Linked DNA regions of Drosophila melanogaster. The protein of the gene in region 3 interacts with the protein of the main gene of each other region in a pairwise test. Each region holds a gene or a part of one and is shown on either strand. Other genes may lie near its edges.

Evidence for each region.
Region 1: the proteins of Cln7 (region 3) and CG8303 interact in a two-hybrid assay, tested with the Drosophila melanogaster proteins (one large-scale study listed by BioGRID).
Region 2: the proteins of Cln7 (region 3) and Alp7 interact in a two-hybrid assay, tested with the Drosophila melanogaster proteins (one large-scale study listed by BioGRID).
Region 4: the proteins of Cln7 (region 3) and Drsl3 interact in a two-hybrid assay, tested with the Drosophila melanogaster proteins (one large-scale study listed by BioGRID).

What each region holds. Positions count from the first base shown.
Region 1 is NT_033778.4:16,599,036-16,608,063, forward strand, and holds the start of CG8303 (uncharacterized protein), read right to left. Parts: upstream 5,339-9,028; 5' UTR 5,253-5,338; intron 5,204-5,252; exon of another isoform or gene 5,094-5,203; intron 1,377-5,093; exon of another isoform or gene 1,244-1,376; coding exon of another isoform or gene 1-1,243. Other genes in the region: CG5089 (uncharacterized protein), read left to right, coding at 1-1,243. UniProt on the Drosophila melanogaster protein: Catalyzes the reduction of C16 or C18 fatty acyl-CoA to fatty alcohols.
Region 2 is NT_033778.4:22,200,658-22,209,069, forward strand, and holds Alp7 (alkaline phosphatase 7), read right to left. Parts: upstream 4,937-8,412; 5' UTR 4,894-4,936; coding exon 4,821-4,893; intron 4,763-4,820; coding exon 4,413-4,762; intron 4,349-4,412; coding exon 3,328-4,348; intron 3,263-3,327; coding exon 3,075-3,262; 3' UTR 3,037-3,074; downstream 1-3,036. Other genes in the region: Alp2 (alkaline phosphatase 2), read right to left, coding at 5,475-5,992, 6,062-6,752, 6,905-7,312; Alp8 (alkaline phosphatase 8), read right to left, coding at 8,345-8,412.
Region 3 is NT_037436.4:7,341,384-7,347,009, forward strand, and holds Cln7 (Cln7), read right to left. Parts: upstream 3,801-5,626; 5' UTR 3,747-3,800; intron 3,002-3,746; exon of another isoform or gene 2,709-3,001; intron 2,563-2,708; 5' UTR 2,477-2,562; coding exon 2,285-2,476; intron 2,228-2,284; coding exon 1,721-2,227; intron 1,661-1,720; coding exon 1,509-1,660; intron 1,450-1,508; coding exon 853-1,449; intron 788-852; coding exon 595-787; 3' UTR 501-594; downstream 1-500. Other genes in the region: lark, read left to right, coding at 1-87; CG14834 (uncharacterized protein), read right to left, coding at 4,439-5,626.
Region 4 is NT_037436.4:3,311,184-3,318,307, forward strand, and holds Drsl3 (Drosomycin-like 3), read left to right. Parts: upstream 1-3,812; 5' UTR 3,813-3,850; coding exon 3,851-4,066; 3' UTR 4,067-4,172; downstream 4,173-7,124. Other genes in the region: ZnT63C (zinc transporter 63C), read left to right, coding at 547-644, 703-1,219, 1,332-1,566, 1,632-1,829; Drsl2 (Drosomycin-like 2), read left to right, coding at 3,192-3,404; Drsl4 (Drosomycin-like 4), read left to right, coding at 4,454-4,669; Drsl5 (Drosomycin-like 5), read left to right, coding at 5,652-5,861; PIG-C (phosphatidylinositol glycan anchor biosynthesis class C), read right to left, coding at 7,047-7,124.

The DNA.
Region 1 (9,028 bases), on a different chromosome or scaffold from region 3:
CAAGGGGCAATTTTCCAGTTTGCGACGATTACCAGCAGTTACCAGCCAAAATCGTCGCTACGCAGACCGATATACCTTCGACGACCAGACTCAAGCACAAATCCAGGGCATCAAGAAGATGAAAGAGATGTCCGCGGTGCCCCGGGAGTCTCCTTGGCGTGACAGCGAATGGTCTCCCGATTTTCCCGAGCGTTTGGATGAGTTGGGCTACGAGTCCCACTGCAACGATCGCCTCTATATAGCCAAGAACAAAATCCGTCACGAGCAACAAAAATATGAATTGGAACGTGAAGAGCGTCGCAAGCAGGCCCAACGAAGAATCAATAGTCACTTCGCTAAAGGTCAGGCAGAACCGGACTTATTGCGCCGGCGTACCATCTCACAGGATCCGGCCGATCACCAAAGGCGTCAGGAGGCGATTATCGAACAGAATCGCCGTCGATGGCAAAATCGTCCGGAATCTAGGAGGGAAACTAATACCTCCGGCATTACCTATCGTCCGGTTAAGCGAAAGGAAACGTATATTGAGGAGGATATGCAAAGGGAATCGGAGGACTACCAGCGCCAAAGACGCAATACAGAGAGCTCAGAGGAAGCTCAAGACAGCCAGACAGTGGTTTACGATTCCAATCGTCCCACTGCCGATTGGTTGAGGAAGCGCCAGGAGGAGAGCGAGGCGGAGCACTGGCATTCGTGGCACACATGCCCATGCTCCCGGGAGTCGGAGACCACAGAGGAGGTGAAGCCACATTTGAAGCGCAAGAAGGTGGTTGGCATTCCGCCTGCATATCCAAGGGATTACCAACGACGCGGCTACCATCAGATATCCCCACCTGTGTATGCACTGAAAGCCAAGACTATAGTGATGATACCAAAGCGGCGACCATCTGGCATCGATAAGCAGTACCACAAGTTTGCCATGAAACAGGTGGCTCTATGGCAACAGGACTTCGACGCGATCCAGGACAACGGGCAACCACTTCAGATGCCAGGGCTGGTGCCCAAGAAGGAGGAAGAGAAGAAGCCCAAGAGGAAGGAGGAGCGTCGATCCGTGGAACCGCCCCGTTTCCGAATGGTCGTCAAGAGCCGTGCTCCCGCTAGCCGTCCCTCTACTCCCGTATTCAATTACTCCGGCCAGATGGATATGCCGCCCGCCATCGCCGGACCCAGTGCCTACATGGGATCTCATCGCAAATCTAATGGCGAATCCTGGCGCAACTTCTTAAGGGCCAGCAGCTCATAAATGGAGCTCATTTTACTATAGCGTTGTGAATTGCCTTTTTATCCAGAGTTAATATTTGAAAATGAATACTTGCTGAGCTCCTGGCAGAGTTCTGGGATATTATAGTAAAATTTAATATAATTGACGTTGAACGAATTCTATTAACGAATCAGTGAATCATAGTTGGGGGTTGTAGTAAGAAAATTCCACTCGGGAATCTACAAAAAACCGACATATTTCAACAGTCAGCAAACCAATCGATGTAGTAAGTGTTATGGACAAAATGTAGCAAATGAGCAACGTGCTTTTTATAAGTCAAGTAATTAATTCCGACTAGTAATGGCAATTAAAGTTGACGCGTGTAACTGCTGCTTTTGACGTGATAAAGTAGGGGTTCCCATATTTATGGAATAGTTTAGATAACTTCTATTACTCGTAATAGAATGTACCTTTACTTATCCCAGCACTACATTCCAACACTAAACTGAAACGTTGACTAGCACTGGGAACAAAACCAACTACAAAATTCGAGAGCTAATTAACCCTTTCAACTTTCCCACACTTAAGGCCCATTAACCTTTTACTTTAATCACCAAGTGGATTAGAGTGGCTAAGCTTACGTTAATTAATACCCCCAAACTTTCAACTTGTCACACTGCCACAATCGGACCCATGGCCGTTGCCCAACACTGTTAACTGTACTTTCCCGGCCAACTGCACAACCATTCACAATGCCGCCTTTTGTTCGCTCCAACCGAGACCATCAATAGCTCGACTAATTAATGGCAAATGACGCGTATATCCGAAAAAAAAGAAACCGAAAAGCCTCGACAAGTTAAAAAAAAGAAATCAAACCAAGGTATGTATAACCAATGTAGTTAGATCTCACACGGCATATTGCCCAAGCATCGAGTACAGGTGGAAAACATAATTAACGAAATGCGTAACGATTTGTTGGAGGAGAGATTAATTTCGGACATTTTTGGTGTGATTCCAAATTTGTGTCAAGGCCGCCCAGGCGGAGATCTCGAGTGGAGTTGTCGTTGGTTAGAGGAGGTGGAGATCTATATAGGCCCACAAATACCATTAATTTTCGGAGTTTGGCCAGCCAAACAAAAAAAAAAAAGCTCAGCTCAATCGAAATGCACGGTCACGGTCAAATCTCTGTTGATCTCTAGAGATCGTCGTGCTGCGTTGTCTTCGTATGCATATGAGTCCAATGGATCATCAACATCGAACAGATCTCTCGGATACAGATACAAAGTGGTTAAAATGGCGCGATGTCAGTGTTTTTCGCTGCCTAACACCCGGTTGCTAATTGATTCGCTTGTAATTGACCAACTGACAGATCGGACAACCTCCAAAAAACCGCACTGACTTTTCCTGACTCAACACATTTTGTTCAATGGCATTTCGCTTTCGAAAATAATCCGCCATGTGGCCCGATCCAAAACCCAGAATTATGCAAATTAAGTTCTCCGGATCAGAGACAGAATGCCGCCAGCTTGGCCAACATTGAATTGATCGGAGAGTTAACTGGTTTCGGTTGCTCTTGGCCTGGCCCCCATCCAAATGATTTGCATTTAGTTTCCTCGAACGCGGCGGAGTCACAGAGATTCATCGCCATTTTGCTGTGGCCCAGCAACATTTTTGTCATATTTTCATTGCTGATTGGTAAAACCTTTGTTTGGTCTCCTAAAGTTCTTCGCTAGATTGGGCCAACAGGTTTTAAGATCGTGCATTTGAGATTGACGGCTTGAGTTATTGATGGTCGGTGGTAGGGCTAATAGATCGTTGAACTTGACATTTTCTTGGCTTATATAAAATGGGGCCACTAACTTGTTGAGAACATATATCTTATAAAGTTTTTTTGGGCCCTTGAAGAAGACCTTACCTTGAAATAGTTTGAAAATTGATTTGTTTCACAGATTTTTCTTGTAGTCAATGATTCTCATCAGCAATACAAATTTGATAAGGATACAAGTGCTAATTTCATATTTTTATACATTTTTTTTTATTTATCACATCTAAATGGATCCGTTAAAAAAAATGCAATAGGACACTTAGAAAAATGCTTGTTGTTATGGCATTTGCTCATTGCTTATTTCCTATTTTGCATTTTTGATGGAGAAGCACATGGACAATACTATATATACATATATAGATAAACAGTATATATAAATATTTACAGATGTAGCTGTGGCTGTATGTGCCCTAAGATTTGCATAATTTTGCTACGTCTGCGTTTTGCTTTGTTCGTAATTTCTGTTTAGACAAATGACTGAAACCCAGCTGGGTCTTTAGTTCCCCCCCGTATTGGTAAGTATCTCTGTGTGTGCCGTAGTATATACAAACTGTTTCTGCATATTAAATATTTGGAAATTTCTTTACCAGTCCTAAAATGGCAAATATCGCATTTCGAGCCCTAGGCGATAACAAAAACCAAGCAAAGCCCTAATGAACAAATTATAAGAAATTTGGCAAGTTAGCTGAGCAACTTTGGCTTGGACGCGAGGGTATCCTCTAACTGTGACGAATTTTTAGGTTTTGTTTATGAGCAAAGATCCATTTTGGTCACTTTCTATTTTACGACAAACAGATCTCTCTCATCTCGGTTCGCGCCATTGATTTCTCTTCATGTGCTGTTATGATTTTATTCCATTCAATTCGATTTTATTTGACAGCCTTTTTGCTTTATTTGATTTCCGCCTTGGCAACCAAATGTGTAACAATAATTCTGTTTTGTTTATGCTAGGCATGAACATTTTGGCGACGAAGGAGCGAAGGGGGAATTCGATTCAATGCGCCATAAAAGACCGAATCAACAAAAAAAAAAAAAAAACGTCGAACAAGTCGCACTTGTGCTGGGCATTAGCATTAAATGGCTGTGTAGACCTTAACATTGAAAGTTCCACAAAATAAACAGAAACAAAGCAAGCTGATTGATCCTCTTTTCGGTGGGGAATTTCAATAATTGAATTCCATTGAAAGGCAAACCAAAGATTCCAGAAACGAACTTGGCAGTATAGCATCAATCAAAAGAATGAAGAAACAAACTTGAGTTTCAATCAAATGACTGAAGAAACGAACTTCATTTGCGCTTGTTACTTTGCTTACAATTTTGGACAGTTGACATTTGCTCGCTTATTTGTTATGCCCATTAAGAAATTCTACACAACTATTGTCTAAATTATTTGTGTTTCCAGGAGTTTGGCAAACCGGTTTGCGGCTAAAAAATTCGATGTCAGGCACGCAAAAAAAAACGTAATAAATTATGGAAGAAGTGCCTGACAGAAATTAGCCACGCGTCAAATCCAGAGACAATAAAACTAAACATTAATACGAGCTTCTTGCATTTAACAAATTCTTCAACGCATAATCATAACAACGATTTTTGTTTGTTTTGCTGCCCATGAATTTTCCAGCAAGCGCTGGAAAAACCGCATGGGAAAACTTACTCAATCGGTGTCGCGAAAATCTAAACCAACTCGAAACACATACACATGGTTAACTCACGCAAAGAGAGCGGCTGAGAGCGAGGAAACTGGAAAAGCTATGAAAACAAACATTTAAGTGAAAATCAAAGAGATAAGTCAGCAGCTTTTCCAATGGTTTTTCCGCAAGCCGAGCCCAACAAAATTACTAAGGTTTATTTCGCACTTTTCTAGACAATCAGAATTATTTCATCACTTCCGCTTGTATTGTTTGGCAATCGATTTGCAATAATCGCGATTATTAATATTATTATTTTGTTTTTTTTTTTATTATCGATTGCACCAATCACCCAGTGGGGCGTTTCACTTTGCACTTGATTTAAAAGTTTTGGAGCACGACTTGGTGGGACAGATGTTAAGGCGAAGTGCAAACTAACCAATAGTGTCGGGGGCGAAAGAGAGATCGAGGGATAAGTTGGCCACTGAGGAGGATCCGCTTTTAGCCAACTTGCTGCCAATGCCGACGCACGCTCACTTAAGACTGATTGCGGGCTCTGAAAGTAATGCGATCGCAGCTAGTGCTGAAAAGCACTCACTCGCCAGTTCCTGAGTTTCACAGTTTCTGAGTTTCTGAGTATCAGCGTTTCCGAGTTCAGCTCGCCAAGACTTCGGGGCACGTAATGAAAATCGGAACAGAAAATAATCAAGAGGCAGCCCGAGAAACAAAAAGCCGCGAACTCAGCACCCAGCGAAAATAATATTCATAAAAGAAGGCTGAGAGAGCTTTGAGTGGCCAGCGATGTCTGACTTTTTGGTAACTGAGAAAGCTGTCTCTCCAAATTGGATCTATTACGAGTGCGTGGTATCTGTTGAGTGGATCTGGCAATACCATTTGGTTTGGAATGAGCGGGGGCTAGCTACTTGAGCGAAAATACAGGGGTAAAAGTACTCCAAGGAACCAAATAAAACTAAAGCTTAGGATATAGAGTCGTTATCAGGTTAAATGAATTATCATCATACTTATAAATATTTATGATGGAGTCGTAGAAATGTGCAACTATGTAAAATATCTATGTGCTCAGTGCTTTACTTCGTTTGCACATCAATTTAAAATTTTCGCTTTTGAAGCAAATAATACCCTAATTGGAGTTTATAGCCATGTTTAACAATACCATAATAGTACTATAACAATATTATTATGTTATGGTCGTTGATAAAATTAATGTGTTTTAAAGATGTACACGTGCACATCATATAAAATTTATACGCGAATTAAAAAGAGTTTTCCTCTAGCTGGAGCTCCACAAAAAATATTCAACAATTTTGAAAACAAAGTCCCCTGTTGAATTGCAGCAAATTTTGCGAAATTTTCACTTTGCTACCTTGCTTCCTGTTCTTTTATTTGCAGGCACAAGAATAACTTTGCTGACATCTCGAATTTATTGCGGCCAGGTAATACATACGATACATACGATATTCTGCTGATTTTGATAATTTGATTTTGGTGTCAATGAGGGCATTATAAGGTAGAAAAATTACCGGTAGATCGCATGAGGTGTTGCCAATCACGATATTAATTGTCTAATTATGCAAAACTGACTTGTTGGGGGTAATTGAGTGATGGCCCCTTGATAACTTCAGCGCGAAATGCAAATCAGTGGGCGGGGTATTACAAAACTGTCAGCTAAACGTTAATTCATCTATTTGCAGAGACAAGCTTTCTAAGCTCTTTCCCCTCCGACGGGTTCAATTGCAGTTGACCTAGATGTTGGTAAAAAGCCAACATCATAAAATGGTAAATACCGAAACCAGAGTATTGGGCCTAAGCAGCCGAAAACTCCCGAGGCAAAGCGTCTCGGGTGTACACACACCTGAACACCTGTAATTACAGGTGTGTGCAGGGCTACGACTCTTCGCCTAACCGAAAAAAAGAATTGTCAAAATTGGCAATAATTTGGGGGACACGCAAATGAAAAGTGGTCATATGTGGTCAAAATGTTGAGAGAAGGGCCGAATGGGAAAAATTATAAGGAAGAGGAAACCGCAGCTGGAAACTGACAACGCAAACAATCGTGTTGTTTTGATCTATCAGGGAAGAACCTCAACGAATACAATCTATTGAATTAACATAATACGTAATATATATGTTGAAAGCACCGCCGCTATAATAGACTGTTACTAAACCTTTGGTAATTTGTGGGCTATAATAGGTATAATTTTACCTTTACTAATTTAAATTTTATTTAAAATTTATCAGCTACACATTTGTGAATCTTATTGCATTCTTCTCATCAGATATTTAAAACATCATAACTAAGTCAAAGGTAAAATATCATGGGTATATATATTTTTTTTCTCTGTAGAAAAGAATGTCAATTACCCATTGTTGTCCATTTGAATGCTGATACGAAATACTTTTATTTGCCTTTGCACATTTTACCTCAACTCTATGAGCATCTCAGCCGAAGCCACATGCAAATCGATTAGGATCATTAGCCATGCAATTTTCAATCATATCAATCTAAAGTGACTGCCAACGTGTCTTTAATTTAATTTCCCTACAATAAACTTCAACACCCAACTTCGGTAGCAGAAAACCGCAAAAAGGCTCTTGTTAGTTAATCGCACTTCCACTTAGTCAGCCGCTAGTCATGTCGACTAGCTGCGATTTTTCATGGCTCGCTCACATTTTTTAATGCCCCGTCATCGCAACTCGGTTGCAGTGGAGCAGGCTAAGAAGTGGCGCTGAAGATGGGGGATCTTGGGGAGCAATCGAGTTGGGGTTTGGTCAAAAGCCCCCTTTGGGCCACAAAAACGACGTCATCCAGTGCGCATGAGTAATGAGCTTGGCGTTGGTTTTCATTTCATATTCGTTTTTGTTTGTTTGTCTGTTTGCCGATGTCTCACCTATTTGTTATCGTTTTAAAGTCGCTTGTCTCCGGTAATACCCTTTTTGAAGATCCGTTGAAGGGGTAAGCTAAAATAATAATGGATTTGGGATATCCGAGAAGCTTCAAGCTGCTTACAACATTTTAATTGGATTTTTTTTGAAGAAAACATCTTAAAACCATTATAATCAGATATTATGCAAATTTTTCTTTACTTCTTATTTATTTTCATAAGTTAAATATAATTTTTAAAACATTTTTAATAATAAGTTAATTTCACACGGTATGGGTTATTAGATGTGTTAATTAATTTAGTATTATGACTTAGATGCACGTATTAACCGTTTTCATTTATAGTTTTCGTGATATATCAATTATTTCCCCCTTAAGAGCATTGAACATTTCCACCTGAATGTTTCCCTATTCATTTATCTTAATGTATTTTAAAGTTGATTAATATGCAGAGTGGCAGGGCAGTCATCAGCCCACACCCCTTTACCCATATATCCGACAACTTAAGGCCCCGCCGTCCCCAAATGACAATGCATTTTTGGTTTGTTTTTGTCTCCTTTATGTTTTGATTTTCACATTTATGTTGCGTGCACTGCAATCGGCTGGCGACCTTGCTTATTGTCCAAATATTTGGTTTGCCGAAGGTTGTGACATCAAGATTCCTATAAAATAGAGATCTGTAATCAAATATATTCTTAGATAAATGTGGGAAAAACATAGCTTTCATACAATAATTAACAGCAATAAATTAAATGAAAATGTTAACTCTTTTTGTGAAATTGTGAAAACGTTTAATTGATATACGATATACGATTAATGTTCAAGAAAATAAAAATAAATATGACTTGCGTAACCTGAAATTGTTTATTGATTTCTTTTAATTCCCATCCACTCTAATGTATTAAAAGGAAGTAGGTTTCAACCAGTTTACATGCTCCAATGGTTTTGTTTGAACTTCCCGCGCAATGGCAACGTTACTTTAGCAGCAGGGTGGCAGCACTGGCGGTTGTTTGAAATCGCAGCAAGCAGTGATTTGAGTGCCTCGTTGAATATTTGTGCGGCAGAAATGTGCGAAAGTGCAAGAAATCAGTTTCTGTGTTTGCTGCCCAACAATCGCCTATTTTAGTTGTCCAACGCAGGCGCAGGAAAAGCGGCAAGAAGAAGCACAGGAGTGGAAAGGAAGAAGAACTAGACCAAAGTGGATTTCATTCAATAGAAAAAACGGCCAAGGTGGTGGAAAAATCATAGCAATATCAGCCCCCAGAAAGCGAAAGAGAGCGTGTTTGTATTGCCGTTAACGCACCACCGAAAAAAAGGGAGAACAACCGTTACCGCAGAGGGTGGAGAAAGGAGAAAGCATAGTGAGAGGTGAGAGAGAGCGGCATTAATGGTGAGAATCGCAGGCGGCTCGGTCGCCAGAAGCTTCTTCTTTCTGCCTCAGTCACATTTCGCATTTCGAGCAGTGCTGCTCT
Region 2 (8,412 bases), on a different chromosome or scaffold from region 3:
TTAACCGCCGAGCTGCAGTCGGCCAACGGTGCGTATGAGCCATATATCAAAACGATGATGGAGCAATTGTAAACTGCATGTGATGCAATTTACATTTTAATTGCCGATTTTCTAGCTGAGCTGTGTTCTGTTGCCCAGGCCAATCCATTTAAATGGCGCTTTGCCTAATGACATCGTCACGTTCCCCCCTGTCTACAGTGGGCCCCCACTAGCACTTCCCCCATTTTCGTCGCTCTCAAATCTGAGCTATTCGAATCATTGATTATGCAAATCCCACAAAGGTAATCAAATAGGCCTGAGGGTTGTGGCACATACTTAACGAGTCGTAAAGTCTCTGAGAATTATGTAAATGCAAATTGGATCGGCGACGTTAGGATCGTAACTATGGCAGGGAGGAGGAATTCATTTCGGAGCTGCCATTATGCTACACAGTTCAAGATCCCCAGCCCCAGAAGCGCCAGCCATCCCGCGAACAGAGATAAATATGACATCACCTGGACAAGACCAGTAGCCATGTTTCTGGGTTTTTGCTCACTCACCTTTGTCAGGTGTGCTTGCTTTCGGTTTGTTTTTGTTATTTGTTTTTGTAGGGGCTTCGGTGGGGGGAGGTGCCGGAACTGGACCGGATTGCGTGTTTGCTTTGTCCGCTCAAAGATGAAAACTAACAAATTTATGGGATTAGTTGCGATACTATATAATATTGAATATTTGGCTGCTCTGGTTTGTATTGTTGATGGTGTTTCGTTACAGATTGCTCGAGCAATTCGCTTCCTGCCCGAATTCTGGTTAACCTTAGAGACCAGCCATATTTACATAGAGATACATATATCCATGATTATAAAGCTGAATCGTCACATTTTGCCCACTGATACCTGACACTTCTCAGGGGTTACGCTAGCTTCAGTCTCACCGAATCAGGCACTTAACTTCAAATCCAAAGGATAGTGCATTCGCCTGTTTGTATGGGTTGCATTTGCATTTCCATTTGTTCAAGTTCACGGTCAGTAGAGCAAAATACACAGAACTAGAATAACATGTTCGCCTGACGGCAGCAAAAGCTAATGCCCAAAGTAAACATCGCCGGAGGAATTCCAGCTGCACATCGAAAATAAGACGCAATCCCCAGGTTGTCTATTTGGTTTTTAGGTAAAAATTCGGTGCCAAAAGCCCACCGCTTTCCTCTGCGATGATCGATTGCAGTCGTGTCGGTGGAGATTTCATTATTTTGTTGTTTTTTTTTTTTGCTGTTATAAATAGCGTGACTCAGGCGGATTTAGCATCCGTATCTGGTGAATGCATCTCCATCTGCTGTGCACCCACGAACCGCCATCAGCGCTTTTGGCCAGACCCGATCTTGGCCCAAAGTGGCACAAGCATCTTCCAGACTTTCTAGCGGTGCGTCCCGTGGAAAATGCAAGTTTGCTCAGATTTCTGATAAATGTTTGTGTTTGCCGTCCAAATTTCCAGCTGGCGCTGGCGAAAGGGGAAATAGTTGGGCTAAATGGGTTAGCTCTTTATCTAAACGGATTGCGCGGCTTAAATGGCCAAAGTAGAGCAAATATTTAAGGTCATATCTCGGTATAGGGCTGTTTGCTTAGTCTGATTAATTAGCAAATTAGCAAGTGCCAACTGATATAGCTCACAGAACGAGATCCTCCTGTTGTTGTTTTCCGACTCGAATGTCTGTTCGTTAACCGCAAATCCGGAGACAATCCATCTGATATTGATTTCCCGCCGAGCCACGCATTCAATTACAATTTCAACACTTGCTCTGCGTTGCAATTCGAACTGGACTCGGTTTATCTGTAAGTTTATCTACCACAAATTCTCACCTGTCACACACAATTCAGTTGGTAATCGCCGAAACTGAGATTCAAACGTTAAAGATAAACTCGCGCACTATTAGCCAGCCAGACGAAAAGTCAGCTGAAATTAGCGTCAAATCGGGCATAAACTGTAAAGACTGATCTGATCCGCACGCGACAGATTTGGAACCCAAACTGAGACTGAGCCAAGTTAGCAGACCAAGCTGAGCTGCAAACTGAACTGCGATCTGAGGACTGCGAATGGGGAAACGACGCGACTTTAAAAGCCGACAAGCTGCTGCCGACAAGCGATTTGCGTTTTACGACCACAACACTAAGTAAACGAACCCCTGGCTTCCACTTTTCGCTGAGCCAGCAATCGTTGAACAAGCGAATTTTTCAGAACTTTTAAACAACAAAAATTCCCAAAATAAAGACTCAAAGTAATCCGAAACAAGGACAAGGCACGAGCGAAAATGAGCTGGAATGAACTTACTTTAAAATATAAGTTTCACTAACAAGATCACTACTTTAGTACTTTAAACAAATGCTACAATAAACATTTTAATATGTTCCTCTTTTGGCAATTTAAATATTTCAATGTACGAATCGGAATATTTTCTGTGTGTGCAGACGAATAATTGAGTTATTGAAGTCGTTGGGGATCGAGGACACCGCCTTGGCCAGAGCGATCCTTAATTGCGTAAGAAACGAGAAAACATTAAGCTTAATTGTCTGGAGCTGCGCCTTCATCTCGACTCACTTCATGTCAAGCGCATTTAAATAAATTCTGTTGAATGCGCAAACCCATAAACAAGCAAACAATTACAAGTCAAAGTCAGAGCGAGTGAAGGAGCTGCTCCAGATGCGTGTGGGAGTCAATATATCTACATCTGTGCATCTATATATCTACGGCATATCTGTGTATCTGCGTATCCCCAAGTGTCGGCAATGCCAATGCTTGAACCTGACATTCAGCGAATTCATATTTATTCCTTACCCCCCACAAGTGACAGCCATCGACTGGCAACAAATCGATGCGATCGCTCAATCTATCTAAATCTTTGTTTGTATCTGTATCTGCATCTGCGAGTGTCTGTCTTTTCGCTGATGCGTTTTAAATTGAAGTCAATTCGGCAGACTCGTGCAATAAATTACGGGAGTCGGGCCAATTTGATTATTGATTTCTGCAAAGTGCTCCCCCAGAATCAAATCAAAGTGAGAGCAGGGTGCTTTCCAAATACTCTATATTATAGATTCATTAAAATTCTAGTCCTCATTGTCACAGAGAGTGGGTCCATTGCCAATGCAGGAGGCATAGGCCATCAGGTGGGGAATGGTGCTCTGCTGCATCACGCCGGTGAAGAGATGACTTTGCGGACCAGTAGCGAAGATTCCCACATCATCGCCAGCATGAACGCCAATAGTGCCGTGGATGTAGCTGGGGTGGATGAAGTCTAGAAGGAAAGCAGATTGGTTCGCTTATCACTTATCAAGGCGCCCAAAAGTAGAATTCACTTACCTTCCGCTCCAATTTGATCCGTAAGATCGATGCGCTGGCCGTGCTCATCCAGATACTGATTGGTTCCCACTGCATAGTTGAGAGTGGCGTACTTAACTCCATTCACATCGGTGTCATCCTGATTGAGACCCAAAATGGGGGTTCCTCTGCCAGGATAACCAGAGATGGTCAATGGATGGGCGTGATCGGAGGTGACTACAATCAGGGTCTCTTCGGGATCGGTTATATCCAGAGCCTCCTGAACAGCCTGCTCGAACTGAAGCGTCTCTGAGAGCGAATAGGTTGGGGAGTTGAAGTGGTTGCCATAATCGATGAGTCCACCCTCGACGAACAGAAAGTAGCCACCATCGCGTTTGCTGACCACCTCGATTGCTTTGCGCGTCATTTCCGCCAGTGTGGGCTCCTCCTTGGGATCGGCCATCTTATTGAAGCTCATCACTCCCGAGCGGAAGGTACCAATCAGGTTGGTGATCTTCGAGACATTCACGCTCAGCAGCTGGTTACGATTGTAGGCTAAAACACCGCCGGGATGCAGTCCCTGCCAGCGAGACAGCAGGTTTACTCCGTCGGAACGCTCGCCCTTCTTGTTGAACGGATCCGTGATCGTGTTGGGCAGGAACTTGCCAATTCCGCCGCCCAGCATCACATCGAAGTTCTTGCCGGGAGCCTGGGTAATCAGTTGGGTGGCAATGTCCGTGCAGGTGGCCGGATCGTTCTGTCCCTCGCCGTAGGTCAGAATATCCGTGTCGCTCTCGAAGAATCGGTTGGTGGTCTTGGCATATGCACCTGATGGACTGGCGTGGGTCAGAGTGGTGGTGGTCACAATGCCAGTGGCCTTTCCAGCAGCCTGGGCCCAGGCTGCGATGGAGTCCACCTGATTGGCCGGATCCTCGCTGCCGCTGCAGTTGTTGAAGCTCACTGCCGCCGTAATTCCCAAAGCCACGATATTAGTCTTCACACCGCACAAGTAAGCGGTGGCAGTGCAGGCGGAGTCGGGAACCTGGGCATTGGAGCAGTATGTCTACGGAAAAGATATATTTAAATACTTATCTCATTCAAATCCAAATCCCGAGCATATCACTCACCCTGCTCAGGCCGGTGTAGGGGAACTTCTCGAAGCTCAGGGAGTCCTCCTCGCCGGTATTGCCCTTAAGCTGACCCTTGTGGATGCGGGCGGCTGCCACCGTGGACAGGGACATGCCATCGCCGAGGAACAGGATAACATTCTTGGCCTTCCTCTTGTCCAATTGTGGCTGTTCCAGGCGCTTGGCGATCTCCTCGTAGGCAAGATCGTACCAGAACTGCGCGTTCTTCTCCTCCTCTGGTCCGGGTTTTCCCTTGGCCATGGCATTTGGGTCGATAAGGTTTCCTTCGCGGGTTTTTGCTGTGCTCACCGATCCTCCCACCAGCTGGAACTGATTATGGATCTCGGGCACTGGAAAGGGAATTCAGTGAGATATCTCTAGAATTCAGGGTCCAACTGCTGCACTTACTGTCTATGGAAGCAGCCAAGGAGGTGGCCACCAGGGTGCATAACACCAGGCTAATGGCTACGAAAGTCTTCATTTTCAGAAAGATGAGGTTCGCTCAGGGCAACTGATTGAACTACTGCCACACTCTTGCAAAAGGCTATTTATTAACCCTTCCAGATCTCTGTTATCTAGTTAGCCATATCTCCATGGCATAATCCCCGCAGTGAAAACGCGCCCAAAAAATCTCACTTTATGGTTTCATATTTACATGGTCTTTTGGTCTTTAGAGTTTATGAATATTTTATGGCCTTTGAGTCAATAGACCCAGCTACCATCCAAAATTCTAGACCAATGGGCTGCGAGCACATACCCGTGGCTTCCAAAAGTGGGCACGGCACCAAGAGTTTGAACCATGCAAACTGACCCTATCCCACACTCAAGGTGAGCTAATGGGACTGGTTGCGTCCAAATGCCACCATAACTGTGATTACTATAAGATTACCGAAAAGATCGTGATAACTCTTGGGTAGAAGAATAATCTTAAATGTATTATTAGTATAAGTACACGGTTTATTAAAATGTGAGAAAGCCTAATACTAAAGAAAGGACATGCGCTGTCTTTTGGATTACTTCAAATCTCCTATAGTTACAGTAGAATATATTCCATGGTATCTTTCAGGTTTTCCGCCCTGAGCTCCCGCAGACCTGCTTTCCACTACCAACGCATGAGGCGTAGGCCATCAGGTGGGGAATGGTGCTCTGCTGCATCACTCCGGTGAAAAGGTGACTCTGCGGGCCAGAAGCCCAAATACCCACGTCCTCCCCGGAGTGCACTCCAATTTCTTTATCGATGTAGCTTGGTGATATGGCGTCATCGGGGCCAAGGATATCATCCAAAGGAATGCGCTGGCCATGCTCATCCAGATACTGATTGGGTCCAGCTGCGTAGTTTAGCACCGAGTATTTCACTCCGTTGATATCTGTGTCGTGTTGATTGAGTCCAAGGATAGGTGTACCCCTTCCAGGATATCCGGCTATGCTGACGGCATGTCCGTGATCAGCGGTCACCACAATCAACGTGTCACTGATGTTGGTCATTTCACGAGCCAACTGAATGGCCTTCTCGAACTCCAGGGCCTCATCCAAGGCGTATCCCGCCTGCGTGTAGTGGTTGCCGTAGTCAATGAGGCCACCTAAAATGCATTCAAACTTGTTGTTAGTGTATATATTTAAGAGGTATATACTTTCAAAGAAGAACCTACCCTCTATGAACACAAAGTATCCATTTTCATTGTGGCTGAGCTTCTTGATGGCCACCTCGGTGAGTTCCGAGAGAGTGGGCTGATAGGTGGGATCAGCGTCCATGTGAAAGTCCATCAAGCCCGATTGGAAGGTACCAATTATGCTGGATGCAGCTGAAACGTCTAAGTTAAGCAGCTGCTTGCGATTGGTGACCAAGACACCTTTATCGTGGAGCCCTTGCCACCGGGACAGCAGATTCACGCCATCGGATCGCTCGCCATATTTCCCGTGACTATCCTTCGTGGTTTTGGGAAGGAACTTGCCCATTCCGCCGCCGAACATGACCTCGAAGTTCTTGCCGGGCGTCTGGGTCACCAGTTGAGTGGCCATGTCGACGCAGGTGCTGGCATCCACTCCATAGCTGGTCACATCCGTGTCGCTTTGCCACATTCGATTGGCCGTCTTGGCATATGCTCCAGAGGGACTGGCATGGGTCAGTGTGGTGGTGGTCACAAATCCCGTGGACTTGCCGGCATTCTGGGCCCATTCCGCAATGGAGGTCAGGCGGTTCGCGGGATCCTGGCTGGCGGTGCAGTTGTTAAAGTTTACTGCTGCACTTACTCCGATATTAATAATGTTGGTTTTAACGCCGCACAGATAAGCGGTAGCAGTACAGGCTGAGTCGGGAACCTGGGCGTTGGCGCAGTAGGTCTGTAAAGATAATATTTTTGTTTGAATAAAGCACTTATGTGGGGATTTTATGGTCCTGGCACACGTTGTGAACTTCACCATGATAAAGAAAAAGGTTAAGGTTTGTTTTTGCTATCATTACTACTGGTCTATGGTACTATGCAAACACTCACTCTGCTCAATCCCGAATAGGGGAATTTCTCGAAGCTCAGTGAGGACTCCTCCCCAGTGTTTCCTTGGCGTTGTCCTTTCAGGATGCGAGCAGCTGTGACTGTGCTAATTGGCATACCATCCCCGAGGAACATTATCACGTTTTTGGCCCTGTCGGAGTTGGGCTGTGGTAGCTGAAGCCTTTTGGCGATCTCCTCGTCGGCGAGCTTGTACCAGAACTGGGGATCCATCTCCTCCGGCGGAGTGTACTTGCCCGTGGCCACGTCCGTGGAGAACCTCAGCTTGCTGGCTTTCTGACCCGTCAACTCCAACACATTGTGCACTTCCTGGACTCTACCGAGTGCTGTGCCAACAAAGGCCAGCAGGAATAGAAAGATCGGATAAAGGCAGCGCCTCTGGGAGATGTGCATCTTACAACTGCAGTGATACCGAACGAACTACAACGATCCCGTCTAATTTCCAGGTCTTATATGCCCTGCACCGGATTATTGCATTCAAAACAAGGAATACCTAAAATTAGGTTTATTCCCACTTTATACCCCTTGGACTTATCTCTGCTGGTACTCCCGACTTCTAGGAAGATCAGCTGTAAGTGACATGACCATCCCTCTATAAAACCACTACCCGTTGTAATAGTAATGGGTTATGAGATCACTCGACTTTCGTTTGGCTGAGCTTATTATCCCTAAAGTGCTGAGATCACCTGTGCAAATGTTTATTCCAGCTATCTGAATTAGTTTAGTCACGTTTGCGTTCGTAAAGATATTGGCCATGATGATCCAACTCTCACGAGCCTAATCTACAGGAAACGTGTCGCGTGAACAAGTTGTTGTTGAAATGGTTGCACACTATAAAGAACAACAACTTAGAGCCCGAAACCCCAGAACCCTAAACCAAAATTTCTCTTTTTGAATTGGTTGATGAAATTATCGAAAATATTATTCAACATATTGGATATAGTTCAGATTGCATAAAACGTTTTACACGCGTCTAAATGTAGACTCATATAAGATAAATGTTATCTTAACTGTCGTCTTTTCGTGCCATATTCTCAGATAGCTTAACTGTCTCCGAAAAATCTCAGTTTATATTTACACAATCCTTAAGTCATTAAGGTTTATGGTTATAAGGGGTAATTCAGCCAATAGGCTGGCTACCAGTTCAAAAGCATATGGCAACACTCGCCATAGTTTAATTTTTGAACCCAAGCCTACAAAGATCTGAAGGTTATATTTTGGGGTTATATTTTGTCTATGTCTTCATTGGCAATATTGATTAAAATCTCTTTCCATGGACCAGGTTTTCCATAGGGCTTTTCAAGACTACCCATTCTAGTATCTTAATTAATTAATTCAAAACATACACACATTCATTATGTGTGCTACATTTTTATTACAGAAAGAAGTTGTTGGCGAACATTGAAAACAGATTTTTCTGCCTTCTTAGTTGTCGCAGACCTGCTTTCCGCTTCCAATGCACGCAGCATATGCCATCAGATGGGGAATGGTGC
Region 3 (5,626 bases):
AGTCGCGATGCATTCGACGAACGCATGATTTCGTCGCGCGGAATGCGCGGTCCATCGCCGCCGGGTCGCAGATATGCGCCCTACTGAGATGAGTTTTACTATCACGGCAGCAGCTGAGTAGCGGTTGCACTACCCATGCCCCTGCCAATGGGTCACACATTCTACCACACGACCAGCAATCGAAGAACGGCGCCTGTGGACTGCTGGCTGCTCTGCTGGTCGCCAGCGGCGGCCTACTACCATCACCACCAAGCACACCAGCAGCACATGCTGATGCCGACGACAATTTCACAACTGTGGCTGCCGCCTTGGTAAACCACATACATGTTACTAAACCCAAACTAACCATTACTCGTACACTTAAACAAGAAGATGGAAATACGTGTTTAAGCATCCTCCCTATATGCAAAACACGCCAAAAAAAAAAAAGAACTAGACAACGACGTGCAACCTCTACACATTCAACCGTAGTACCAATAAACGCATAATCAGTCGAAACTGTGCAAAAATAAACACTGTATTTTAAAGCTAGTTTAAGGGGCAGTATTGCAACGATGTGTCTTAGATCTACGGATGCTCCATAGCCAGCCGTCGTTACGCATGTGAAATCGAGTGCTGGCTGCCGTGCTTGCCCAAAATGGGCTGATCAGGAGACAGATCTTCCGGTGGGCTACCATTGTGCGTGTCCGGTGAGTGGTCGTCCAGCAGCTTGCTACCATTGTGCTTGTTCAGTTCTTTCAGCTCGACAGGTGTGGTCTTTTCGAATGTTGGCGGGATTAGTAATCGACTGAAAAGATAACATGTTATTTATTGTGGGGAACCGCCTTAAAAACGAATAGTATTTCAGCTTACTTGCTGCACTGTAGCCAAAACATGGAGACCAGCATCATGGCCGAAGTAACGCCGAAGGTCCAGAACGTACCTAGGCGCGTGTAGATGGATCCCACGAAGACTGGACCAAGGACGCGGGACAGACAACCCGAACCGGTCATCCAGCCCATCCAGACGCCCTGCGGCCGAGGTCCCAGAACTTTGGAGAATATGGTCTGGATGAGAGTCACCCCAATGGGATATCCTATCGATGTGAAGGCAAATCCAATGATGAACTGCGTTAAGGTCAAGGCCGGCAGTTCGCCGCACCATTTCTGCGTTGTGGGGCAGCCCAAGAAGATGGGATCGCTTTCGCTTAGGTTCCAGCTGGCATTGAATGGCTGCGCCAACTTTGGCGGATCCGGACCCCAAGGCACGAAGAGCACGCGACCGAGAAACATCAGCGAGAATCCGCCCCAGATGAGCACATAACGCTCGGCTATAATCTTGCACATGGGCTCAATCAAAACGAACGTGACCAGGGAGACAATAGCTGCGGTGGTCATCATGATGCCCATGTACCATAGGGCCTCGTCGTTGGACCAAGCGAACATATCCATTGTCAGGGATGTGCCCAGACTGCAAGGCGAGGAAGCAATAGTTTAAAAAAAAAAAAACCCACTCTGAGGATTACTCACGTCTCCAACAGCACAAAGTTGAATACCAGAACAAAGAAGGCGACGATCAAAGTCCATGCGGATAAATAGCTGGGCTTGATGCCTTTCCAAGTCTCCTTCTCGGATGTGCCGCCCTGCATCACCATCACCTCGCGAGCTGCAATTTTGTGCTCCTGAAGGAGTGTTCAAATTTAATGACACTTTAGAGCGAACCAAGTAACCTGGCCACTCACCTCAAACACTCCGGGCAGGAACATCATGAAGTTTCCAATGCTCATCAGCACATTGATCCATCCGGATGCCGTGTACATGTTGAAGTGCATCTTGCCCCACAGCCAGACGTGTCCCTGATCTCCCAGCGGTGTGACTGCCGCCTGCAGAGTTGGACCAATGATGAATCCAAGGACCTGTGCCAGCGAAACCATTGCAACGGCATGTGTGCGTTCGCTGATTCGTGTCGCAGCGGACAAATAGGAGCGGCACAGGGCAATATTCGCCGAGCTGACACCGATGAGGAACCGCGAGGAGAGCATCCAGTACTTCACATTGTCCGGACGCAGTTCCAGCGAGGAGTATATGCCACTGGCCAGCGTGAATAGAGACAGCGATAGCAGCAGTGGCAGACGAATCTTGCCCAGCTTGTTGCCCCACCACCCAAAGATCGGACTGAAGATCATTTGTCCCAGCGGATTGGCGGCCACAATCAGTCCCATAAACTCCTTGCCCGCATCGGGATCTAGCTGAAGAGAGATGAGATTGAAAAGCAGCTGGATAGCGTGACCAAAATGGGTACGCACCTTGTTGAGGTAGGGCCAAATGCCTGTGAGTATGATGCTGAAGCCAAGCGCCATCAGAAACATCGTAAAGTAGATGATGCGGACGGAGCGCCAGCGCTGCTTGTACTCCTCCAGCGTCTCCAGGCCATCGTCCACATCCTCCGGCAGTCTTTTGGTTTCAAAGCGAGCGGAAACTCGGCGGGCAAACTCCATAATTGGTTTGCTTGGCTGTGATGTTTGATGGGTTGGTTGGCTGCGATGGATGTGTGTTTGCTGGATTTCACCGCCACTGAGTCATTCTGTAAATGGATTCGAATGAGTTTTTTTTTTCTTTATGGAGCTTTTTGTGAATCGATGTGTCAGTTGTTAGACACGCTTTTAAAGTCTTGTAACTATTAATGATTCAGAGTAGAGTATGTCTCTAATCGGCGGTGCCTTCAATTACTTGAATATGGATGGAGTGGATTATCTGCCAGACGTCGCGTGATTATCCTCCTCCGAAAAAACCACAGATATGGAAAACAGTTTGCTGAACTTATCACACAAATTGCGGAAGATAAAGGCAATCGGTGCCGAAATAAAGCTGTTTGTAGTTATTCGTTGCCATGTGCGGGTGTCTGTATGTCGTTTTTCTTTAGTAAGAGCCACTATCACTGTGAGTATGCCATTGTTTTTGTTTATATGGCATGATAAGGTTCGTACAGAACGTCAGTTTATTACATGATTTCATTTATCAGAGCAAAAGAAATTGATTCGCCCCAGTACAGGGTACGAAATAAAAACATTTTGTTATAACTTTAGTTTTCGATAGTGCAACAAGTGCAGCGATTAGCCATATCAATCAGACTTGTCCACTTCCTACATCAATCAAATCATCACTGGTTGAAGATCACTCCGTCGCAAATCAATTTCTAATTGATTATACCAATTGCCAATTGATGCAGTTGGTTTTTTTTTTTTCTTTTTTTTTTTAGTTGAGCGCCAGATTCTCGTTCTCGAAGTACCCAAACACACACACACACATCTTTCAGATACAAGATACTAGATATGAGATAGCGACCGTTGATCTTTGGCTGCCTATTGTTTTTTTCGTTAAGCTACTTTGCCTTTGCACTCCTTGCTTTGATTTTCAAATTACTTAGCTTACTAAGTTGTATTTTGTTTTTCGTCACACACTGAAGCAAAACTATGTAAATTAAATGGAAACATGCACTCTTTGTTTTTTTTTAAATTACTCTTTCTTTGTCTCACTCTCGCTCTCCCGCTTCCTCTCACTCGATTTTTGTAATATTTAACCAAACGCAAAGAAAGCGCTTTTCTCCCTCTGCCAATGGCTATATCTGTATCTGTATCTGTATCTGCGTGCATGTATCTTTCTGTGCATCTAGAACTCAAGGGCACCCCCCTACCGCGCGCATCCTATTTGTGGGGCTTCCAGCGGGTAATGCACCTTTTACCAATCGGGCTATGTCTTTTTAACTACCTGTTGCAGCGGAACAGCGACGACCACTGGAGATGAACGAACGCGACGGACTGAACTGAACTGACGCGGCAGCGCCTGTTGCCAACAAATCGGACGACGCGTCGCCACAGAGCGTGATGGAGCTGCCCGAAGAGAGAGAGGAGCCAACGGCAGATAGCACCCGCGCCCGAAAGTATGCTACTTAGATACTCCGAAATCTATGGCATCTGTAAGATAGATCGCAAGGGTTTTCTATTCAGGCAAAATATTCCTAAGCATAGTATAGTAACTTGTTATCAATCCACAATCCATGTAACACCAATACTCCTTCTTCAAATTATCATTATTATACTAGATCATCAGTAGAATAGATGTATCTTTGAGATTCGATTCGAGATCCAATTGAAATAATAGGGAAACTGAAGAATGGAGTTCTATAGAAACCTGTCTAACCTACCAAACTTCTACCTGCGTGTGTGAATACTATAATGACTCATTGGAAAACGATCTTTAAGAACGCCTTCATATTGTTACAGGTACATAAAGATCTTACTACTTCAGATACTTTAATTTCGAACGCTTCTATCTTCGCTGCTACTGCAGAACACTATAATGTGCAAATTTATATTTATTTTTGAGAGACCAAAATGCCTTATAAATATACAACAAATGATTATAATAATAAAAGTGAAAGTAAATTGGGTATGTTGGGTCTACAGATTTCCCTGTGCCTGCTGCAAACGCATCAGTCGCCGCTGCCTCAGCCAGGGCAGCAGGAGTCCACCTGGACGCTGGCCGGGAAGTGGAGCTCGTGGGGCAAGGTCCATTGGGGCAGCCAGGGTGACGGCTTCGGGGATGATCTCATTGCGCCGGAAACCACGGAAGGTGGCGCTAGGCCTGCGTGGCACACGATCCTCAGGCTGGCGATCCTTTTTCTGCGGCACATCCTCGTTTCTAATATTCAGGCTAAAGACATCCCCAGTGCGTGGATCGGAGGACAGATGACTGACCGTATCTTGAAGCACCTTGGGTATCCGCTCCACCACCTGCAAGGCATCGCGGAGTGGCCGAATCTCTCGCTCCGGTTGCTTGCGCGACTGCTCCTTGGACGCCTTGCTCTTGGCGCTCTTTCGGAACAAAGGACTCTTCTTGTTCTTCCGCGAGAGTGCATCCTTCTTAAGTGGAGCGGGGCGAGTCAGTCGCGAAGCTGACTGCTCCAGGAACCATGGTTCCCGACGAGCCGGCTCCTCCAGCTCAGCCTGACGCTTGAATGCCGATGGCTTGGCTGATGCACGCTGCTGCTTCTGGGCTCTAGTGCCCAGTGGCGAGGGACGCACCAAGGAACTGGCAAAGTCATTGAACCACTCCAGGTGATCGACGGACCTCTTGTGCCTTATCTGCTCCGAAGCCTTGGATGGCGTTTCTAAGCCATTGGCCGTACGTTGAATGACCAACTTTGTGGAGGGCTTGTAGATGGTTATGTTTGAGCGACGATTTCGAGGCGACTGCATTGAAGTGCTGGCGCTCCTGGCCACCAGATCTCGCTTCTGCTCGAACTGCTGTGCGTTGCGCACAAAGCGATTGCTGCTCGGTCCCTGGATGACGATTTCGAATGGTAGATTCAACGTCTTGGCATTCATCTGCATGGTGCGAATGCACTCAGTATCGGATTGGTCGTCATTACACTCGCACAGGCACTCCTCGCCGCAGTAGAAGCCCAAACAGCCGCAATGCTCACACAGCGCCTTGCAATTCTTCTCGAGCTTCGACTCCGTCAGGGGATTCACATTGCGACTAGCTTTCGTGGATGTGGCCAATGTCGATGGCGGTTTGGTTGTCGTGCTGGACACTACACTTGCTTGGAACTGAATAGCAGCCAGTAGAAGTATCACCGTATAGCC
Region 4 (7,124 bases), 4.0 Mb from region 3:
GGCTTTTAAAACTCATTGCTTATTAAACGTGGCTCTGAAACTAATTAACTTGGATTACTACTCGCTTACTCTTTACTCCTTGGCCGCAACGCAAATGGTTTTAATATTTCGACTCATTACGGATCGTTGATCCGCACCCAAAAACCACTTATTTAATGATCTGACAATTGTAAGCCAAGCCGTATTATGAGCAAAAGGCTTGCCTTGGCATCGACATGTGCTAACGTGATTTGTTTAAATTTTCTTGACTTACTCCGTCTGTGAGTTAATTTGTTGTGATACATTCACGTTATATCGTCACATTTCGGTTTGTATTTGTGCATTGGGTTGTGTGAATTATACGCTTTGTTCATTTACATTCCGGTCACATTGTGTGCATATTTATCGAACGCTTTGCGAGGTGATTATTCTGCCAATAGCTACAGATTCCCTGCAGAAGCCAGCTACACTGTCGAAAATAATAAACTAACATAGGATTTGATGAGTGCTTTCGTTATGTTATCTTAATACAGTTTAAATAAAACAATACATTTCCATTTATCACAGATTCATTGAGGAGGAGCCGATTCACGAGCCTGAACTGCTTGTCATCGTGGGAGCCTTGGGTCTTCTGGTGAATGTTATTGGACTTTGTCTGCTTTACGGTAAGACCAAGTAATACAGATAAGAGTAGGCCGTTCTTTAACTTCATCTGCATTGCAGAGCACGGCGGTCACCATGGACACTCACATGGCGGCGGACTCACCCGTAACCACAGCCGCCTCACTGAGTTGGCCAACATGGACGAGGGCGAGGATGAGCAAAACGACTTTGCCTACGAGAAGCAGAAGGAAAAGGCACCGGTCAAGAAATCCAGCCATGGACACAGCCATGATCCCGGCCAGATGAATATGCGCGGCGCCTTCTTGCACGTTTTGAGCGATGCCCTTGGCAGCATCATTGTCGTAATCAGTGCTGTGGTGGTGTGGAAGACGGAGTGGAAGTACCGGTACTACATGGATCCCGCTCTGTCCATCGTTTTGGTTGTTTTGATCCTGCACTCCGTGTGGCCGCTGCTGCGCGAGTCCGCTTTAATTCTGCTCCAAACGGTGCCCACCCACATCCAGGTGGATGCCATTCAGAAGAGGCTTCTGGAGAAAGTTGATGGCGTGCTGGCTGTGCACGAGTTCCATGTGTGGCAACTGGCCGGCGACCGCATCATCGCCTCTGCCCATATTAGGTGAGATTTACTTGTTAAAAGAGTAACTGCCTGTTTAAAAAGAAAAATTAATTCTATAACCATTTATAAATCAAATTAATGCAATCTAATCCATCTCTCGTAAACCTTGTAGGTGCCGTAACCTTTCGGAGTACATGAAGATTGCCGAAAAGGTGAAGGAGTTCTTCCACAACGAGGGTATCCACTCTACCACCATTCAGCCAGAGTTCAGCGAGATCGAAGGCTGCAACATGTCCGATGGCACCTCCAGCATCAACATCAGCGGCTCCGACTGCTGCGCGTTGGATTGTCCTACCACGGAAGAAGGATGTGTCAAGGCCACGTGCTGCCAAAACAACAACAAATTGGTGAGTTCATCTAGTCTAATGGGAACATGTAGAATTGTATAATGAAGTATAAACCTTAATTACAGAACCAACTGCCCTCACCCACCAACTCGCCGTATCTGTGCCGCCAGCGGAATGCCGCCCGACAGGCCGGCGATGTGGAGGCGGGTTCCCTGCTGGAGGCCACGTCCAGTGGCAACCAGGGAGCCACTGGTGGGGCCAGCACAGGAGCGCCCGTGGCTGCGATAGGGGCCACGTCAACGCCGAAGAGCGATTTGGTTTGACGACAGCCACATCAGGCGCAACAACATGTACACTTTGCCACGACCAAAACGGAAACCGCAACCGCAACAACAAAGGCCGCCACAACAGCAGCAGCAACATCAATACGTGATATAATGTACGAGCCACGCGCCAACAACCTAGTGGTCTCCAGCGCACAGGTGGACGTCAATCTCGGCCTGACGGTGACCGCCCAGCGGCGACGGGAGCTTCAGTTGCAGGCCGAACAGCAGTATCAGGAGCAGGTGTCACCACTGAGTACCAGGAATGGCGACGAGGTGGCACTCTAATTAGGAGCCTAGTTTAACGTTAATTGTGCAAACCGCTGCAATGGAGACTGGTCTGCCATGGTGCAGCTTTCGTGTTTTTTTGTATCATTATTTGTTCTTAGTGGAATTTAGGCGTAAATGAGAGTGGGACAAGTTCGGTCGATTGACCATTGAGCTAGTTTAATTAAAGTGAAATCAAAAATGAAAATGAAAATGAAGAACACGATTATCTATTAGTGCGGGAGACACAAAGTTTAAAGGAACATGCTGTTCAGGATGTCATTCATATACTATATAGTATGTTAAACCTATTCGATTGTAGTTAATTGCATTAGTTTAGATCGATAAGTGAGCCCAAACAGCAGAGAATACATATGTACTACGTTTTTTACATTTTGAGAAAGTTTATACATACGTGAAATAAATTATTGTATTCAATAGTTACCCACGGATTAGCAAATGACTAAAGACAGTTTACAAAATACATAGGTATACACGCATTTGTGTTTGTGTATGGTTAGACATAGTCCCTAAATCTTAGTAGTTGTAATGCTATATGTAAATGTTTTTACCACAACCGAGAACCTAGTTTCTATTTAATTTTAATCGTATCGAACTTTATAATGACTATACATTTAATGCAAACATCATGTATTATTTTATGATCTGCATTAATTTTCAGATGTATATGTTTGTAAATAAACGCCAAACATAATTAGACCAAGCGAACTAACTGTATACAATTTGATAAAATGCCTCTTTGGAGTCGAAATTTTCGATACAATCAGGGGTCACTGGTACTTCCTGATTCCCTGATTCATTTTATCGATTGCAGCAATGGGCAAGATTGCGAGCTCTGCCTCGAGTTTCTTGGAAGCTTATCGAATTCAGATAGGAGCACATGTGTGACATCAAAGTTGAGGCACCTAGCCACTGAGCAAATGCATCACAAAAGATTTTGAAACGTGCTAAAAAAGATTATTGGAAATGCATGGAGGTGGTGTAGTCCTATATAAGCGTCCCCACAAGCTGTCGATACCAAACGTCTTCGAGAACTCAAGTAAAGTACCAGACTCGTTCGGAACATCAGTTGCAATGGTGCAGATCAAATTCCTTTTCGTCTTCCTGGCTGTGATGACAATTGTTGTCCTGGCCGCCAATATGGCTGATGCCGATTGCCTTTCCGGCAAATACAAGGGTCCCTGCGCCGTCTGGGACAACGAGATGTGCCGACGTATTTGCAAGGAGGAGGGACATATCAGTGGCCACTGCAGTCCCAGCCTGAAGTGCTGGTGCGAAGGATGCTGAATCCATACTATATCCATTTGAAATGTGTATATTGAATATTTCATTCTAAACAAATAATATATAAATATAAAGGCCTCTTACGCTTATCACTCATACGCACTGTTGTCTTTTAATTTCCTGTATGGCAATGTGTTAGGAGAAGTGAATGTTTACATACATCATTAAATCGAAAAGATAGCAATTCTAGGTAAATAACTTATTATGATAACGATGCATTTTTAAATCAATGAAGTTGACACATGGCACACATAAATCAAGTGTTTCTGGAAAACTAGGATTATATCGGTTATTGTTAGCTTGAATTTCCGAGAAGCTTATCGATTGCTACGATCAAATAAAAAATCTTAAAATCTGTATCTCTATATAAGCGTCCCCACGAGTGGTCGATGCCAAAAGTCTTTAAGAACTCAAGTAAAATTCCCGACTCGTTGAAAACATCAGTTGTCATGGTGCAGATGATATTCCTGTTTGCTATCCTTGCTGTAATGACCATTGTCCTAATGGAGGCCAACACTGTTTTGGCACGTGATTGCCTATCTGGAACTTTCGGAGGTCCTTGCTGGGCCTGGAGTGGAGAAAAGTGCCGCCGTCTCTGCATTGAGGAGGGACATGTCAGTGGACACTGCAGTGGCGCAATGAAGTGCTGGTGCGAAGGATGCTAGATCCACTGCAGTTCAAAAGTGCATGCTGTTTTTTTGTTTATTCTGAGCCAATAATAAATATACTGTACACCGCACAGTAAAAGGCACGTAAGCATTGCCTTTCAGGAGTTATCTCTTGATTTGATTTAATATGTATGTGGTAAGTATATTAAACAAAAAGGTGCATCAACATCAAGAAGGTATAGCAATTCTATCATCCCAAAATAGCGATGCGCGTTTTGTCGCGTAAAAGGCCCAAAAGTATGCCTTTCGAAAGTTATATTGCAGTTATTTGCATTTTCACCTTTATGCTAATCGGTTAATATACAAATTCTGTACCTATATAAGAGTGCAGTCGGACTCAAGAAACTCAAAAGTAAAGATTTTAACCAGAAGAACATTCTAATAATGGCTCAAATTAAAGGATTGTTTGCTCTCCTCGCTGTGGTGACCATTGTCCTAATGGTGGCCAACTCGGCTTCGGCCGTGGATTGCCCATCTGGAAGATTCAGTGGTCCTTGCTGGGCCTGGGATGGAGAGCAGTGCCGTCGCCTCTGCAGGGAGGAAGGACGTGTCAGTGGACACTGCAGTGCCAGTCTGAAGTGCTGGTGCGAACAATGCTGAGGATCCTCATCGTCCAATATGTTTGACACATATGTGTGTCATATGTTTTTTATTGTTTTGAAAAGAAAAATAAAGAATATACTTCACAGCAAATAATACAGTTTTATTTCTACTTAAAGAACGAATCCTTTTAAAATCATAAATTTACTTCGAAAATGAGATTTATAATGGAATGGAAGAAATAATTAAATGATAAATAATCAGAGTTAACTTCAATAGAAAGCTAAAATTCATTTAGAAAGAAGTGGAATATATAATTCAACTCATAATAAGCATTTAAGAAAAAAAAAGCATAGACTATTTCAGTCTTAACAAGAGTTGGAAAGGCCATTTTCATTTATGAACACAAATCTTCATTTACCAGCACCCATATCACTTTATGGGAAATAAAGATAATCTTGTCATGTTAATATTTCCAACAAATTATCAACCGTGTTACATCGAAAAGTGCAAGTTTGGTGTTTGAATCCGGTTCTGGGTTTTCCTAACAAACTCGACAGTTTTACAATTTATGAATAAATTTAATTAATGAAACTGGTTTAATTAGTTTCCTAGAAGTCTCGTGATAAATGGCACATTGCATAAAATCAATGTCGGCAGATTATTAATAAGCCATTTTTAATTTTCCATTAGAAAAACTACGCATTCTTACTCAACTGCTAACTGAGAAGATGGCAGTGAAACTTTTTAAAAAGAAAACGAAATTTCATGCGACTTTTCTTAGACACTTACCGTAATGATCATTATCTCGAAAGAGAATACTTTTTGAAGTCAGTTTTCGTTGTCTTATCAGCCCTAAAGTATGCCCTTCCATGAAATACAATTCAATAATTATCTCCAATTATCTGCCAATCAATTCCAGAAATACGACGAAGCTGGCAGAGAGATCCCGATCCCTATATAAAGCGGTTGCTGGGGGTTTGGACTCATAAATCAAGTTCGAATTGTTCCGACAGCAGCACTCTGATTCAAAACCGACAACATGCAGATCAAGTTCCTGTACCTCTTCCTGGCTGTGATGACCATCTTCATCCTGGGCGCCAAGGAAGCCGATGCCGACTGTCTCTCTGGAAGATACGGAGGACCCTGCGCCGTCTGGGACAACGAGACCTGTCGTCGGGTGTGCAAGGAGGAAGGACGATCCAGTGGCCACTGCAGTCCCAGTCTGAAGTGCTGGTGCGAGGGATGCTAGGCCATCCTTCAAGGCGCGTTGCTCTAAATTGCCGGAAAACTACTAAATGTTATAGTTTGTTGATAACTATAAATAAATATTAAATATATTATTGCAACGCAAATGATTATTTCGTACTGGTTCAACTGTGATACTAACTATGTGATACTAAGGTATTTAAATGTACGTACAAAGGACGGATAAGGATTGTTCCTTAAAAATGTTAATATTAACTGATGACGTACTCGAAAAGGTTTTCTTCTATTCTTATTCATTACAAAATATATGAATAAGTACATATAAATATATTCTCAATTAAAACTAGCTAACACCTTAATTCTCTGACTTAGTCTGTGAAGTATTGAAAATTTAACGATATTTTAAAATAATTTGTTTTTATTCAGATTGTAACATGCTTCAAATACTGCTTAAGTTATTCTATTTATAGGATGAATAATTGCAGAAAATAGAGCGCTGCGTACAGCGATACTATATGATGTAATCTGGATTATTTATCTCTCAAGAATGCTTACTGAAACTGTGGAAGTAGCTTGCAGGACAGCATGCATTACATAGATAGGTAAAACGCAGAATACTAAAATAATTAAATCTCTGGTTAGACTAGGAACTTCTGGGAAACCCAAGGGCGTGCACTTAATACAGATGTCACTCATCCATATTCCATAGTCTATTATTAAAGCAATTGCTTCAATTTATTTGCGTTAGATAGGGTCAAATATATTCAATGTATGCTCATGCGAATGTTTAATTGTTATCTACGAAACGGGTTTTAGTCGCTGACGATAAATAATCTTTAACTAAATTTATTTTTAGTCTGAGTAAAACACAACCAAGCCAAAAAACTCACCCTGTTAATTTAACTCCATTATCTTTCAATTGAAAAACCTTTGCCTTAAGTTGATAACAATTTATTTAAAAAGCCATTCATAGGACCAAAAGAAAGTCCCCTAAAAATTACACAAATTTAAAAGTGCTATGGTTTTAAACACAAAAAGTATAATTTATTAAAACGCTACTTACAAACTAACAGATATAACATGATACAAAAGATTAACATCAATGGCTTGGAATGAGTTTACAAAGTTATAAAAATAAGCGTGCAATGGTTTAGCGATCAGTGAAGTGCTCCTCGACGTCGCCGCTACCCAGTCGTGGCGGCAACTGTTCTGAGAAGCGCAGCTGGCGCTATAAGTTCCCATCCAGGTTCTCCTCGGTGTTCTCCTCCACGATGGCCTCGTCCCAGGGCCCGTGAATGTTGAACTT